Lytechinus pictus: one gene and its partner. The protein of the gene in region 1 interacts with the protein of each later gene in a pairwise test. Links are inferred from orthologs where the notes say so. Each region holds a gene or a part of one and is shown on either strand. Other genes may lie near its edges.

Region 1 (7,987 bases):
TTCCAGCACCACCCCTGGTGCTCCATAGATATATAACTCAAGTTTTATCTATCCTAGAGCAATGAAATTTTCTACATTATTAGCCAATGGATCCAGCTTTAAAATGATACCAAACTTGTTGGCAAAGCTACTTTGGTTTGAAAAAATAACTCAACAAATTAATCAAAATATGTATTAACAGCACCACCCTTTTTGGTGAGCGAACTCATGACACATCGCCATATATACAATCTTTTGTCAGAAGCTATCCAATATCCAATTATCAAATGTATGAAGTGCTCAAACAGATATTTCAAATAAAAACATTACCAATGAAAGGGGGGGGGGTGCTAGATTTCAATTCATATCCTAATGGCCATAAAAATGCCATATCTTAATTGTAACTTGGGTAAAATATTCATTCAACAACTGACACTTTATCAAAGCTAAAGGACAGGCTTTAATGCATAATCACATTGAGTAATATGGAGTGTCCCTAATGCGGTGATGCATTATGGTATAAACCTACCACATATAACTGGAAATTTACATGTCAGTGTGACTTATATTATATATTTGTAACCCCCCCCCCCCCCGATTTTTTTCATTCCTTGAGTATTCTTTATAAACCGACTGCAAATGCATTCTTATTAAAGAGTTGACATACCTATTGTGAGATCATGGACTGGCTGGAATCGTTTATCTGTGAACTGGAGAAGGAGGCAGGATTTACCAACACCTGTTAATGGAATAAAATGTAAAAGAATGCATAATAATTTTATCATTGCATCACATTTCTTTTATTTTTGCTTTATAAAGGAACGACATGCTGATTATACAAAACTGCTCACTACACACCTTTATTCATTGCGCGAGGGTCTCGGACCCTCGCGCATGCAGAGACCCTTGTGCATGCGATGTTTTGAAATCGGCAGCGAATTATTTATACGTGTGAGGAACTTCATGTTGGCTCTAAATCACCAATTTTGAGACTGATAGAAGCATGGGAAAGAAGTGAGACTTTGTGTAAAGTAAGAATATTAGTTTTAATTGTTTTTAAAGATTGTGATGTTGCATGAATTTTATATTCCCCCCATAAAATCCCACCTTTGACACTCGTTCGGGCAGGTGGAGCGATGTGTAGCGGTAGTGAAGTGGAGCCTGCACGAACATCGCTCGAGGTACATGCACGTAAGCCCGTTCCATGGCATTGGGAAGCATACGCACTCACACACAGGCGACCCGTTCCAAGGATCCCTGTTTTCACAAACATTTGTAGCTCCAAAGCCCGTTCCGAGGACCCTCCTTTTTACAAGAAGCCTGCTCCAGAGCCCCCGTTATTTGTCTCGCCCGCGGCACATATGGTTGTAACTACACCATATCGACCACCAGTAGAGGCGCACGGCCAATATGGGAGACTCTCTCCAATAGGGGAGACAATCTCCCACATTGGAGACTTGCTTTGCAAAAGGACAAAAGAAACAACACCAACAAAAGCATGATTTTTTCCACCCAACATTTTGTCTCACTGAGGTCAGAAGCCCATTTGTTTTGTGTGTGATTGACAACAAAAATCCTTATCAAAACAAAAGTAGACGGTGAATTTTTAAAGTAGACGGTGAAAAGGGGTAATTTTTCATGAGGAATCTGCTTATCACATTTTTATTTGCCGCCAAGTTAATCCTTTTGCAGCAAATGTAAACAAAGGAAATTGGACCCCAAAACTGGAGACTGTCTCTGAAATTGGATACCTAAATTCTTTACAAAAGTCTCTGATATTGGAGATAATCTCCCACATTGGAGACAGTCTCCAATATTGGCCGTGCGCCTCTACTGACCACCTAATTTTCTAAGCATCGAATCTGCGAAAATATTTATCAGATTAACCTAGTTTTCATTTCATTTGTGCAGAAAATTGAGCAGATCAGATTCCCATGTTTCGATCAGCAACTCCGATTCAATTCGCGTATATATCGGCGAACAACAAATACGACGGTTTTACATTTGCTCATTTGCACCCTTCTTTTGAAACCGACCACCCGCGATACACTAAGTTACGGCCGATTTTTGTCGCGGTGGCGAAATATTTTGACTCTTCCAGATCATTTCTATGAAGTCCACATGCTAAATGATCGTCTCACTACTTCCACTGCGAGCTCCGGCACATGATTCGACGATTGACGACGGATATTTGTTCTAAAGGTAAAGCCGTTTCGGAAACGGGGCGGGTTCGGGTCTAGTCTGTAGTCAAAACAATTTTGATAGATTCTCCTAAATTTTCACCTTTTCCCCCTTCTTTTTCTCTCGTAAAATTGATTCTTACCGTTCCTATGGACACTGCGCCTACTCTCCCACGCGTATCGTTTGTAATAGTAATACGCAATAATTTTAATGCGCGCAAGGTGGTCGGTTTCAAAAGAGGTGGTCGATATGTACCGGTAGTGGTCTCACTATACCTACCACTTTTTAGTCGAGTACCCCCCCCCCCCCCTCCGGGAATGTTAAGTCCCTAAATGGTGGCTGCACGATAGCGAGCCGTCTGTGTACGAGGAGAAATAAAAATAAATAAAAATGTTTAAAAACTCCTCGGAACAGACGGCTGCCAGCTGTCTACCCATCAATTTTACCAAAAGTAAAACATGATGATTACACTTACAGAAGGGTTGGAAACCCATGCAACTTGGTAGGCATCCAGATTACATGGCATTGGCCATTGCAATCTTGCATTGGCAATGGATCACAATGTCAATGCATTGCCAATTTGGTTAGCATCATGTGCATGTCTATTGCAACGATAACGTTATGCGTTTCTCGTCTTCATTTCAACTACGAAATTTACAAATGCAGTGGGGCTCGACATTTAAACCGTCAATTACACAAGTGTTTTAGTTTAAAAATCAACCAAGTAAAATAAAATGATCAACCTTACCTGTATCTCCTATAATAATGTATTTGAATAAATATGCGTACGACATTTTGATGGAAAAATCGTGATTTTCTGTGCAGAATACAACTCCCAGGCTGTGTTCGGTTTATGACGTCACTAGACGGTTCAACGTGAACATAGTGCATTGCGCCTGCGCACAATCATTAAATCCCAATTTGTTGTTTGTTTACATTCATTCTGCACGATGCGAAAATTGCAAATTATAGATTTTTGAGCGCTAAAACGTCTTCTCCTGTAGGAATAGACTATGACATTCGGTCTCATGAGACTGGCGACAAAGAGAACAAAGAAAAACGTAATGAGCGAAACCAGTTGGGTAATTAAAGTCAAGTCACCATATGCTAGTATTTTACATTTCCATATGATGAACTTGTCAAATAGCAATAGTGGTCTATTAGAAATACAGTATTGTATTTGGTGCCCGATTTGGTGCAATAAACCCCCTGGCGTTTACATTATTTATTAAAAGGATAATAAAGAGAATTGAAAACAAATTATGATTTGGCTGTTTGGGTAAGGTTTTATACCCGCACAGATCATGAACATGTTGGCTATAAATATTGAATGATAATTAATCTGATCTTTATTTGTTTTCTGTTCGAAATTAGGTGGATATAATTTTAAAGCCAATGCATAAAAAAACAGTGCAAAACATTCAAATAGTCATATACAAAGCACATGGTTATACGAGGCAAATTTGTTTTATGTCACCTGTACTGTACGCCTGAAATAAGAATAGTACGTGTATACAGTGCGTTTTAAAAAAAACGGGACAGATTTGAAAAGTCTATAAAATTTTTGTTTCAAATTATGATGTCTATATTTTAGTGTTAATAGGTGCTCTGAAGTCTTATCTTTCAAATGCCATTAAAAAATTAGTTTCGTTCATGCTTGAGCAAACACGGAATGTTTTTGTCTGGGGTTAAAAAGGAGGCTTGCGCCAAAATGGCATAACATGCCGATGATCGGACTTCTTGCTAATCAATAGATTTTTAACCTTTTCATTATCTTTGCCATAATTTTCGAATTATGCGGTCAAAATTCATTTTCAAATTTGTTTATTTGCCTCAATTGTTCTGTTCCTGTTACATTTCAATACGTTCTCTTTTAGCTTTGAATATTCCTTCTTTAAGCAAAAAAAAAAATTTCAACCGAAGTATGGGAGAGCATGTATTTTTTTAAAAATCCTTTCGTTGTGTACTACAAAGGTTATGGTGCCTTTGAACAGTGGCATGCAGATTGGCGGGGGCTCGGGGGTGCCCCCCTTCAATAAAAAAAAAAATGGAAAGGAAATAAAAGGGAAGATAAAAAGTGAACCATGATTATTTTTTGAATATTATGTCAAAATCTATCACAAAATTTGATATTTTAATAAAAAAGTGGAAATTTTTGCTTGCCCGCTTCGCTCGCTCACAACTTTTTGATACATTTTATCCGATCTGCCATATCTAGCTCCTTCAAAATTGACTCAATACATCGTTGCTATTGAAAGACATGAATCCTTACCTGTTTGTCCTGTAATGGACCTATATATGGTCCTGTCAATCACATAATTAAACTTGGTCAAGGAATCAATAACCCCCTGAAAATAGGATTCATGTTTTTTCAAAGGTGCCAGAACATAATTCGTTTCACATAATAAAATGATATGAATAATTACAAGTTTTCCCAAATAATCTTCTTGCTTGGGTTGACAAAAAGTCTTCTTTTCTTACTTATGAAGGAAAATTCAAAGGTAAAACAAGTTTAAATGAAAAAAAAATAATTCAAGTAAATAAATGAATTTGTAAATGAAATTTGACAGCACAATTCGAAAATCGTGGCAAAGAAAATGAAAAGGTTAAGAGGAAGTCTGCTGATTAGCAAGATGTCTGATAATCAAATATCTCATTTCTGCCATTTTGGCGCAAGCCTCTTTTTGAACCCCTTACAAAAACGTCCCGTGTTCGCTCAAGCATGAACAAAATTTGTTTTTTGAATGGCATTTTAAAGATAAGATTTCAGAGCATCTATTAACATTAAAACATAGATGTCATAAATTGAAACAAATTTTTTATAGACTTTTCAAAACTGTCCCGTTTTTTTTAATACGCACTGTATATTATATATAGATGCCCGTGGAAAAAAGAAAACCCAAAACAACTTAGGACTACACATTTCCATTCACCCACGTCAGCTTCCCGCAAGAAGGGACTAAGTGGTAATTTTTACGATTTTTCTTTATTATGCTCTTTTTAATTTGCTGATATTTTGAGTTTTACTTGAAATTCCGAAATAAATTTTGCATTTGATATACGATGTAGTCTTTCTATATTTTGAAATAAAAATAATAATTGTAGATATTACTCCTAAGTCCCCTCTTTTTAAAATAATATTTTATTCTCTTCTCTCATCAAACAAATTTTAACATAGTAAAATATTACATTCATGATCATTAATTCAATACGGTATTAAATCAAATTGACCATAATTACAAAGCTTGGTTTGAACTTACAATAATTGTGATCAACACATCCATACTTTTGACAATTCTTAACGAAAATGAAGTAAAACAATGTCAAGAATAAATTCTATATCAATTCAATTTGTTCTCAAAATACCTGATATACATTTTTTTTCCAAACAAGATTGATTTCATAATCATTTGTTTTCCAAGGAATATATTTTTTTATCTTACATTTATACACATGCGTAATAATATTTTCAATTAAATATAAACATTGAAAAGCCGTACAACCTAAAATCAATTCACCATTTTTTGTATGGTTGTATCACATACGTAAAGAACAAATCTTGAATCCTGTAAATTATTAGAATACAACTATTAAGATTTATAAGAGAAGATCATGGAAATACTATCGATAAATTCTTAATATTATAATTTTGAAATAAAATAAAAATAATTCATAAAAAATATAAGCTTTTGGGTTGCTGGATATGTACATGAAGGTATAGCTATAGATTGACAACGATGAGACCAATGACCTGTGTGGTGACTTGATTTATGAGTTGCATGGCTGTTCTGGCAGGGGCATGGAACTTTTTTTTCAATAAACGTGAATAAAACGTAAAATACTATCGATAATATCGTTTTTTTTTCTTGTATGGCCATTCCCTATATAGTACCCTCTACTCCATCTTATGGCTCAGCACCCGGCCCCTTCAAAACTGTTCCTCGGTCCCCTTATACAAGTTTGGGAAACTGCTGACTGGATTGAATTGTTTTACATGTCAATTATCTAACACTATTTTAATTTAGGTTCTTGAATTTGAAGCTTTAGACTTCCATTTCGATACATTTTTTTTGTTTATTTCACTTAAGTTCAGCATGACTCTTAAACCTTGGTTGCGCATGTTTGTTTTAGAGCCTAATTTGGGCAAAATAATTACATCATGTGCATGTCAACGTGAATATGCAATGAGGGATGTCAAAACCCTAGGCCCTATATCATTCATCTTTGTATCATGATATTCGAAATTATAATTAATCAAAGTTTAGGCTACCCTCCATGAAACAAGTTTGACTATTGAATAATTATGTTAGCTTATTACTGAAATGTATATATGTTTTACACTTATTTGTGAGAATATGAAATAACAAAAGGGGAAATGGAGACATGGTATCATCAGACCGCCTGATGAATTATGACCACATATTTCAATATTCAATGACTACATTGTCTTTCTTCGGATTTCGATGATTTTTTTTTTGCACTTTGCTCATTTATTTATCCCTTTTATTTAGATATAATGATCTTCAACCTAGAGTAATACCCCTTTCATTGTTTAACTAAAACACTAAACCAGTTTAGCTCTATAAAGACATTGCTTAAAAATGAAACAGTAAAATAATTCATGAATGTAGGCAAGCTATGCAAAAAGACCTTCATTCTAATCAATTATTGAAATTGAACAAAGATGCTCTTACAAATACGAATGACCCACGAGGTATTGGCAAAAATGCAAAGAAATGTATTGCTGCGTTACCATGATTACCCATGTCTTCATCCTATTTAGAATTACACCGAAAATATTAAGTTGAAATCGTTTAGACATTATTACTTGCTGATGTTTTTAAAGTTTTTTTAAAGTCTGTTGTTGAAGTTGAGTCTAGTTTCCGATCAGTAACAGGGTAATCATAGAGAGAAGTGGGCCATGATCACGAACCACCCAAGATTTCTTGCATACTGACCTCTATCGACAGACACGTTAAAGGTTCTTGGAGCTTTATCCATTCGGATAATTCATAACCCCTAGTTAGAATAAACTTGTATTTCTATGGATTTACCACATAAATGCATAGAAGCCCGGAGAAAGACTGAAATCCTGCACCTTTAAACATTTTTTTTATCCAATGCATTGAATCAATTGTCAATCCAATTTTTTGTCATTCTTGCAGGACAAATCATTTCAAATAGTACAAAAGAACATGAGATCAAGTTAGGATATATATGACATTATCAATTTGCTCATTTATATATACTAATGCAGATCTTCAAATTGTCATAATTTTGTTATTCCTCGTCCGATTTTGATGAAATCTTCAGTGCTTAGTTTGTCTAAGTTTTCGTCATCTGTTTAAATATACACTTTCAACCCGGAGTACCACTTTAATCGCGACTTTATCTAGTGTGTTTTTATATTTTTCATTTTTTTAATTAGTTTTGGCACATGAGACTTCTTCGGTTGTTCACTACATTCAACTTTTGATTATTTCTTAATTTCCCTCCTTATTTCTCTTTCTTTCCCCTTTTGTTTTTTCTTTGTTCAGCGCCCCCCGAAAGCGACACCGAAAGTACGTGCTACTTTGTCGGCTATAAATACACTATTGAATAACTGAACATTTTTTTTCAGAAGACGGTTGGGGTGACATCATGGGTCTCGTCGCTGTTAATAGTAACCATAGGCGGCGGAAGCGCGGGGGGGGGGGGGGGGGGACGGGGGTCCTGTCCCCCCTAAATTTGAGGTGGGGGGGACGGCCCCCCTAATTTTTTTGTTGATAACCTTTTTTTTGCTTGTCAACTTTTTTACCTGTGTCCATCACAAAATTTCAGGTGGACC
Region 2 (6,981 bases), on another chromosome or scaffold:
TCAAATGGCCTACTGCGGTGAATAATGCAGATTCGGATTGAGCAATAGACATTAATTAATATAAAATCCACATTGTAGAGATCAATTAATTGGCTGTCTAAATTAAGATTTAATGATGTTATTAGCATGCATAGTAGGTGTACATATGAACCACTTCCACACAGTCAAACACCTCTAAAAGAGATGAGTGTGGTATTAGCATGGCAATGGCATACGTGCAGATGGAGAAAAGAAGGCTATACAAGATATGGTGGCAATAGGTAAGAGAGGGGAAGAGACTGAGAGGGAAGAGGGAAGGATATAGGAGAGTGATTTACAGAGTAGAGAGCTGGAGGAGAGGAAGGGGGTGGTAGAGAAAGAAAAAGGGGACAGGGGTGAGAAAGAGAGTAAGGAATGTAGGAAGGATGAAAGGAATATAGAAAGAGCACAATACCACAAAAGGACAAGAGAGAGAGAGAGAGAGAAACATACACACATAAATGTAACACACACACATTAAAAGTAAAAGAAATATCTAGAAACAGAAAGTGTCAGATACAAGGGAAAGCGATAGAAAGGAAGCGAATAGTGATGGAGAGAAAATGGCATGTACCGTAGCTTTGATTCACAATAGGGAAAGAAATACAGAACAAGAGAAGAAAAAAAAAGAGATGGAAAGAGACATACATACAGAGGAATGTGGATAAAGATATTAGTAGAAAAAAAAGGTGATGTTCGATCAGATAGGAAATTGGAAATCCAATAGCGAGAACTTAGGCCTTTGTAGCGTGGTAATGAGCAGAGGGCAGACTGGGACTCACTTCACAGCTCTCTACCTACACTGTATCTATGCACATGATTGGTTGTAATGAATTAATAACCAGCCAATATGAGGTGCCTTAGCCCTGGCATTTCGACAGCAAATACAGTACTTAAAAAAAATGCTTTTATAGATCTCAAGTTTACACCATGAGCAGCACATATAGCAGAGGTGGAGTAATGCGATATGCATTTTGTGAACCTATAGTGAAATGTAAAAAACAACTACCCAGTATTACTGGATTATACAGTTTAATTAATTCGGTGGATTCACAATATGGTGCGCCATCTATCCGTTGCAGCGGACAGGCCAAATTTCTAACTTCGGGGTCAACATCGCGCGCAGGCGCAGACAGCGCACAGTGTGTGATGCTTCAAAAATGAAAATGATTTGGCAACAGTGAAGGAAGAATTCACCAAAAACGGTTTTAATTTTAGCAAAGAAATATGCAGCAAATTTCTCTCCCTCCTCCTGAACCCTAGTAAACAGCATAATCACATGCATACACTAGCAATAGCACGCAACAGATGTTGACTTTTTCCCATTAGGTATTGCGAATTTTGGACTGTCGGCTGCAACTGATAGATGGCGCACCATATTATGAATCCACCAAATTGCACATGTATTGTATGTGAGGGAAACTTCCTAAAATGACAAAGTGCTAGTTTGATAGTGCTCAGCATATTATTAAATATGAGTATGAAATTAAAGGACACGAAGCATTGAACCAATATTTGTCTTCATAAAATTGCACTTTTACAATTCAGTTCATGGTTTCCCTCCAATCTTATTTACTAAAAATTTCTGGGGGGATGGGAATTGTTATCTAAACTTTGACTGTACATTGACTAACTTTCAAATCAAGAACTTGAAACTGAATGAATTTTTTTTTCTCACTAACCTGATTGTAAAGTTTGATGCAGTTCTTCCAATGATCAAAGACTTCGGTCATCTTATCCAGACCACCATGATGAAAGTGCAGTATCTTGTACTGACTCTCTCGACTCGCGATGACCATCTGTCCGTTGGTACACTCCTCATCCGCAAAGAAGATTCTCAAGGACCTCATCTGGCACAGGTCAACTGAAAACACTCCACAGACTTGGTCCCTGGCTGGAGCACTGGCAGGGGAACCAGGACAGATGACCTTGCCACGGTAGCACACAGAGTTCTCAGGGAAGGTCAGGTTGTGGGTGGCGATCGGAGATGGGTGGATCTCGGGGCTGCAGGTTGAACTGCTATGGAGGCTGTAGAGCGGGACAAAGGGATCAAAGCTCTCATCAGGGCTAGGGGTGGAAGGCAAGGAGGATGGGTCCTGGTTGGAGGTGGTTGGAGTTGTAGAACTGGAGCGACGGGACATCTGCCTTGGAAGGACGTCGTTGGAGAGGCGTTCCAGGATGTTGTTGAAGGTCTCGGAGTCATCTGAATCGGAACTACTGACACTGTCCTTGTCTTCATCATCTTTAGGTGGGTGAACCTTCATCTTGGTCTGGAGCTCCAATTTAATTGGCCGACCCACTGGGCTATGGTTATCCCCTGGACTGTTCAGCAGAGCTGCAAGTCTCTGTTCTGTTGACAGCTCATCACTTTCAGATGAAACCTCATCTTTGTGGCCTTCAACTGTCTTGTTATCCGCATCATTTTTATTACAAGCTTCATTCCCTGATGCACCATCAACACCACTGTCTTTACCCATTTTTTGACGTTCTCCCTCTCCAATCCCAGAGTCCTGGAAGCTTTGAATCGATCCTTGAGGGCTCTCATTCCGACAAGACTCCTTTGTCTTTTCTTTACAGGCATTCTCCCTCACAGCCTCCTCCTCTTTTGACAATATACTCAGGCTATCACCACTGACATTGTCCAACTGGGCTTCATTCCTCAAAGCAATTTGCTTGCGGATATCCACATAGGTCACTCTGGCGGGACTGCTGGTGCTGCAGCTGGAGCGTTTCCTCTGGTTCAAGGATGTGTTTGGGATCCATGTGAGCACAAGGGATGTCTGTCTTTCAGAGACCCTCTGGGCACGGATTGTAAGGTATCCTGGATGGTGCTCCACGGTGGTTGACAGCACGGATGGCGGATGCACGCACACATTGTTCTTGCAGAAGATTATTTCTCCATCCAGTGGGGGCGCTCTCACATATTCAGGGTCGGATATTCCAAGAAAGTCACTAAACCTCTTCAGGAGGTAGGCCATGACGGCAGACAGTCTTTCAAACTCAACACTTCATCAAGTTGTACTACATGGAATATTCCCAACTTCAGGAATGTTTGTTTTTAAGCCTCAGAATCTGTAAAAAGAAAAAAGGATTCAGAGACATACATTTAAATTAGCATGTACATGTAATTGAAACAACTTCAGGGGGCATGGCATGCACATGTAGAGTAAAAAGGGTAAATTTTACCATTACATGTCATGATATGCAGGTCACATCCTAGACTTTACACAGAACATTTATTATCATTTTAATTTCCCCATGAATTTGGGAATTCGATTATATAATAAGCAATTTATGGCTTTTTCAGGTTTCTATCTCATTTGCTTTTGAAAAGTTCATCCATCTTTTTATGGCAGCTGCAGTAGACATGTATCTGGGAAAAGACCAGTATTTTCATGCATAAAAATGTATTCATCATTGAAAGCTTAGCTAAAGCTTTGATAAAGGGTTAATATATACTCTAGTATCATCTAACATTCCTAATAAAGTGAGGTGGACATAAATTGATTTTTCAACCATTAGAATTAAAATTTGACATTGTTTCATAGTTCTACACCCTCTTTTGACAATATTTCTATTTCCTTTTCAACAGGCTCTTGCATTTATCTTTAATAAAATTGATAGTGAGCGCTTATCAGAAATCTATAGATAATCATCTCCTGAAATTTCAGCCTATTCTATGATATATAGAATTCTTTTTAAAAAGAAAATGCATGATCAGATGTCACCAAGTACGGATTAAAATAAACACTCAGCAAAAAAAGTTCTCGGACACTTAGAAAACTTAAAATATTTCATATAAATATTTGATTAAAGGCAAATTATTGTATGTCAACATGACCAGACAATATTCCTCTTCCAGTATGACATGACATTTTCATGTTAACAGTCATGCATGGGCGGTTAAATGCTTTAAACAATAGAAGTGTCAGTAAAAGAAAATTGCAAGAAATGGACCATTCAAAAGCTAATGATCATGGCCATCCTGTAGGCATACATTCAACAATTTCAACAGGGGGTTGTCCCCATCGAGCAAACATTGTCCAAAGATTTCTGGATGACCACAATGTTCAGCGCTTGGATCCATGGCCCGCTTGTTCACCAGACATGAACCAGATTGAACACTTGTGGGATCAGCTAGGAAAATCGGTCAATCAAAGAATTCAACCAGGAGACCCTCTTCAAGATGTCCGGTGTTATCTCCTGGAAGAATGGGACAAAATCACCCCAGAGCAAATTCGTCGACTTGTGACAAGCATGCGACGTCAATGTGCTGCACTCATTCAGAGCCAGTGTGGACAAACGAGATATTGAATTTTCTTTTGCTTATGCCAAGATACTGAAATTTGACATTTTTTTCATCGACTAACTTTGACTTAAAATTCCAGTGGAATAGTGATGCATCCAAGGTGGATAACTTTCTCTTCTCTTTTAGAGTGGTATTTGACTTTAAGTTTGCTTTTATAATTTAATGGATATTTATGCCACATAACCTTTCACAATTGAAAGAATGACTGATTGTTTTATTGCAATTTTCTTTTACTGACATTGCTATTGTTTAATGCCTGTAACCAGCCATGCACTGACTGATCCATTTCTTGCAATTTTCTTTTACTGACATTGCTATTGTTTAAAGCATTTAACCGCCCATGCATGACTGTTAACATGAAAATGTCATGTCATACTGGAAGAGGAATATTGTCTGGTCATGTTGACATACAATAATTTGCCTTTAATCAAATATCTATATGAAAATTTTAAAGTTTTCTAAGTGTCCAAGAACTTTTTTTGCCGAGTGTATATTCATGAAAAATTGCAAAAATTTGTAGTCCAAATCATAACTGTTTTTATAGGGCGTACACATTCATAATCCAGTAGAAAATAGGTCACATAAATTAAGTTGTCCTATTTTCATTTTCATTCTGCATTATTAAGTACCATTCACTTGTAAGGTAATACCATTTGCATTCTTTATGACCATTAATAACCAGGCCTAATAGGGTCATTTGATATATTCAGTTGTTTACAAATACATATTGTACACCACATACAGTGTACAATTGTATAAAATCATGGACGTTTCAGAAACTTTTTCGAACAAGCTGGCAATCTGTCACCTTTAAGTTTAACAAACATAATTATTACCAATGTTTATTTCTTAGATATATGTATCATATCTCTTATTTTTCTTGCCAAATTTGCTTTGGCTGTCACAACTTATTGATTGTATAATAGGTCAGGTTGACTGAATGGCTATTTATTAGGAATTGTGTATATACCATGTTTATTTACTGTTTTTCTGAAAAAAAATTTGAAATGTTTATACAGTGTAATTATGCTTTTTGAAAATAAAGAACCCTGTGGAAGGGGATAAAAAAGAAAAAAAATGAAAATTCTTAACAATTAGCAAATTCAAAATTAAGTTGAAAATGACATTGTTATTTTTAGTGAAAATGGACAGTGTATGTCACACAGCAGTGCATGAGGGCTGAGATGAGATGGTTTTTAAAATTTACTTGTCAAATTGTCAGGTCAATGTTATTGATGTTTCTGTAATGGTGAAATGAATGACTGAATGAGTCTGTCCGTCCGTCAGTCAATGAATAAATGAAGGGGAAGAAAGGACAGAAGGAATCATCAAAATGATAAACCAAGGTGAGTAAATAAAACATATATTCAACTTCACTCACCTAATATTTATGATACACACCGAGAAACAGAAGTAAAAGAAATTAATCCAAATATTGTGAAAGTGAAATATTTATTTTTCGAAAAAAATTGATGTAAAGAGAACTGCACTGAAAGGATGATCAATGATGACCCAAAGTACAAATTCCTATCCTTGATCAGAAACTCTGGATTTTAATGCGATATCCAAATTGCTCAAAATCACATATACACTGTACATGTATTGGCTGTATCGCAAGATCCATACATTCCCAAACAGATGCTCTGCTAGCTTCAAACAGATGTCACAGCATCCCGTTGAGAAGCAATTTTCAAATGGAGACAACTTTCTGAATTGAATATCAGTTCTATTGTAGTATTCATGTCTAACCACTGTAACACACAATCAATTCCTCTTCCATATAATAATTGATGATTTGCTTATAATATAGATTTGCGGATGAACGAGGGGAGATGATACTTGATGCTCACCACTCACCAGCTCAAACCCATTTTGCTTTTAAATGATGAATATTGAATGAATGCATCGCACGGCGCCAGGTAGGAGAATGGCATAGTCTAGCATTTGAGACACTTTATCTCTGATAAAAAATATTTTATTAGAAAAGTATGTTATGTTTATGGAAAATTAATTCAACTCAAACACAATTCAGAGCATATATGGGCAATTTTTGTTTTTAAATAGAAAACAGTTCTGCAAACTTTTCTGTTCCCAAGAAGATAAATTCCTTATCAAAAGACTATGAAAATGTGTTGGGTCATTTTTCACAATTTGATTTCAGTGTGATATCATTCATGAAAGATACTATTTTCGTAGATTTCGCGAATTGCGGATCGGCCGCGAATTTATCAACGCACGAAAATATTGACACATTTTAGTAGGACCTTATCAGTGCCCATGTCCCAACAGGCCAATAGCAAAGCATTGCTATAGTCAACATCCTGTGAAATGAAAATTTGAGATATGCACCTATTATGTACAAAAAAATAAGGTTGAGAAAGTAGTAAGTAATTCAAAAAGTTAGCTAGAATTTTACTTTTTTATTTCTCAAACAAAATCAGAGCCTAAATTATTTCCTAACATATTTTTATCAATATTTATTCACTCACTGTGTAATATAGCAATGTATTTTGACTATTTGTGATGACATAATTTGATTTTATTGTCATCTGATTAACTCTATACACAGGTACATAACATTGGCAGCTATTTACATACTCATTAATATTAATGAGTCACATGACCAGATGTTTTAGATGTGTAAAATTCTGTTC

Evidence for each region. The genes of interacting proteins can lie anywhere in the genome.
Region 2: the proteins of ras-related protein Rab-2A (region 1) and TBC1 domain family member 16-like interact in a two-hybrid assay, tested with the Drosophila melanogaster proteins (2 studies listed by BioGRID). The link is inferred for Lytechinus pictus from reciprocal best matches to the Drosophila melanogaster genes Rab2 and TBC1D16.

What each region holds. Positions count from the first base shown.
Region 1 is NC_087246.1:65,086,540-65,094,526, forward strand, and holds the start of ras-related protein Rab-2A, read right to left. Parts: upstream 3,038-7,987; 5' UTR 2,955-3,037; coding exon 2,909-2,954; intron 719-2,908; coding exon 647-718; intron 1-646. UniProt on the Drosophila melanogaster protein: May be involved in bidirectional endoplasmic reticulum (ER) to Golgi trafficking. Together with Rab7 involved in promoting fusion of autophagosomes and endosomes with lysosomes, probably through recruitment of the HOPS tethering complex.
Region 2 is NC_087254.1:28,667,112-28,674,092, forward strand, and holds the start of TBC1 domain family member 16-like, read right to left. Parts: upstream 3,091-6,981; 5' UTR 2,997-3,090; coding exon 1,701-2,996; intron 1-1,700.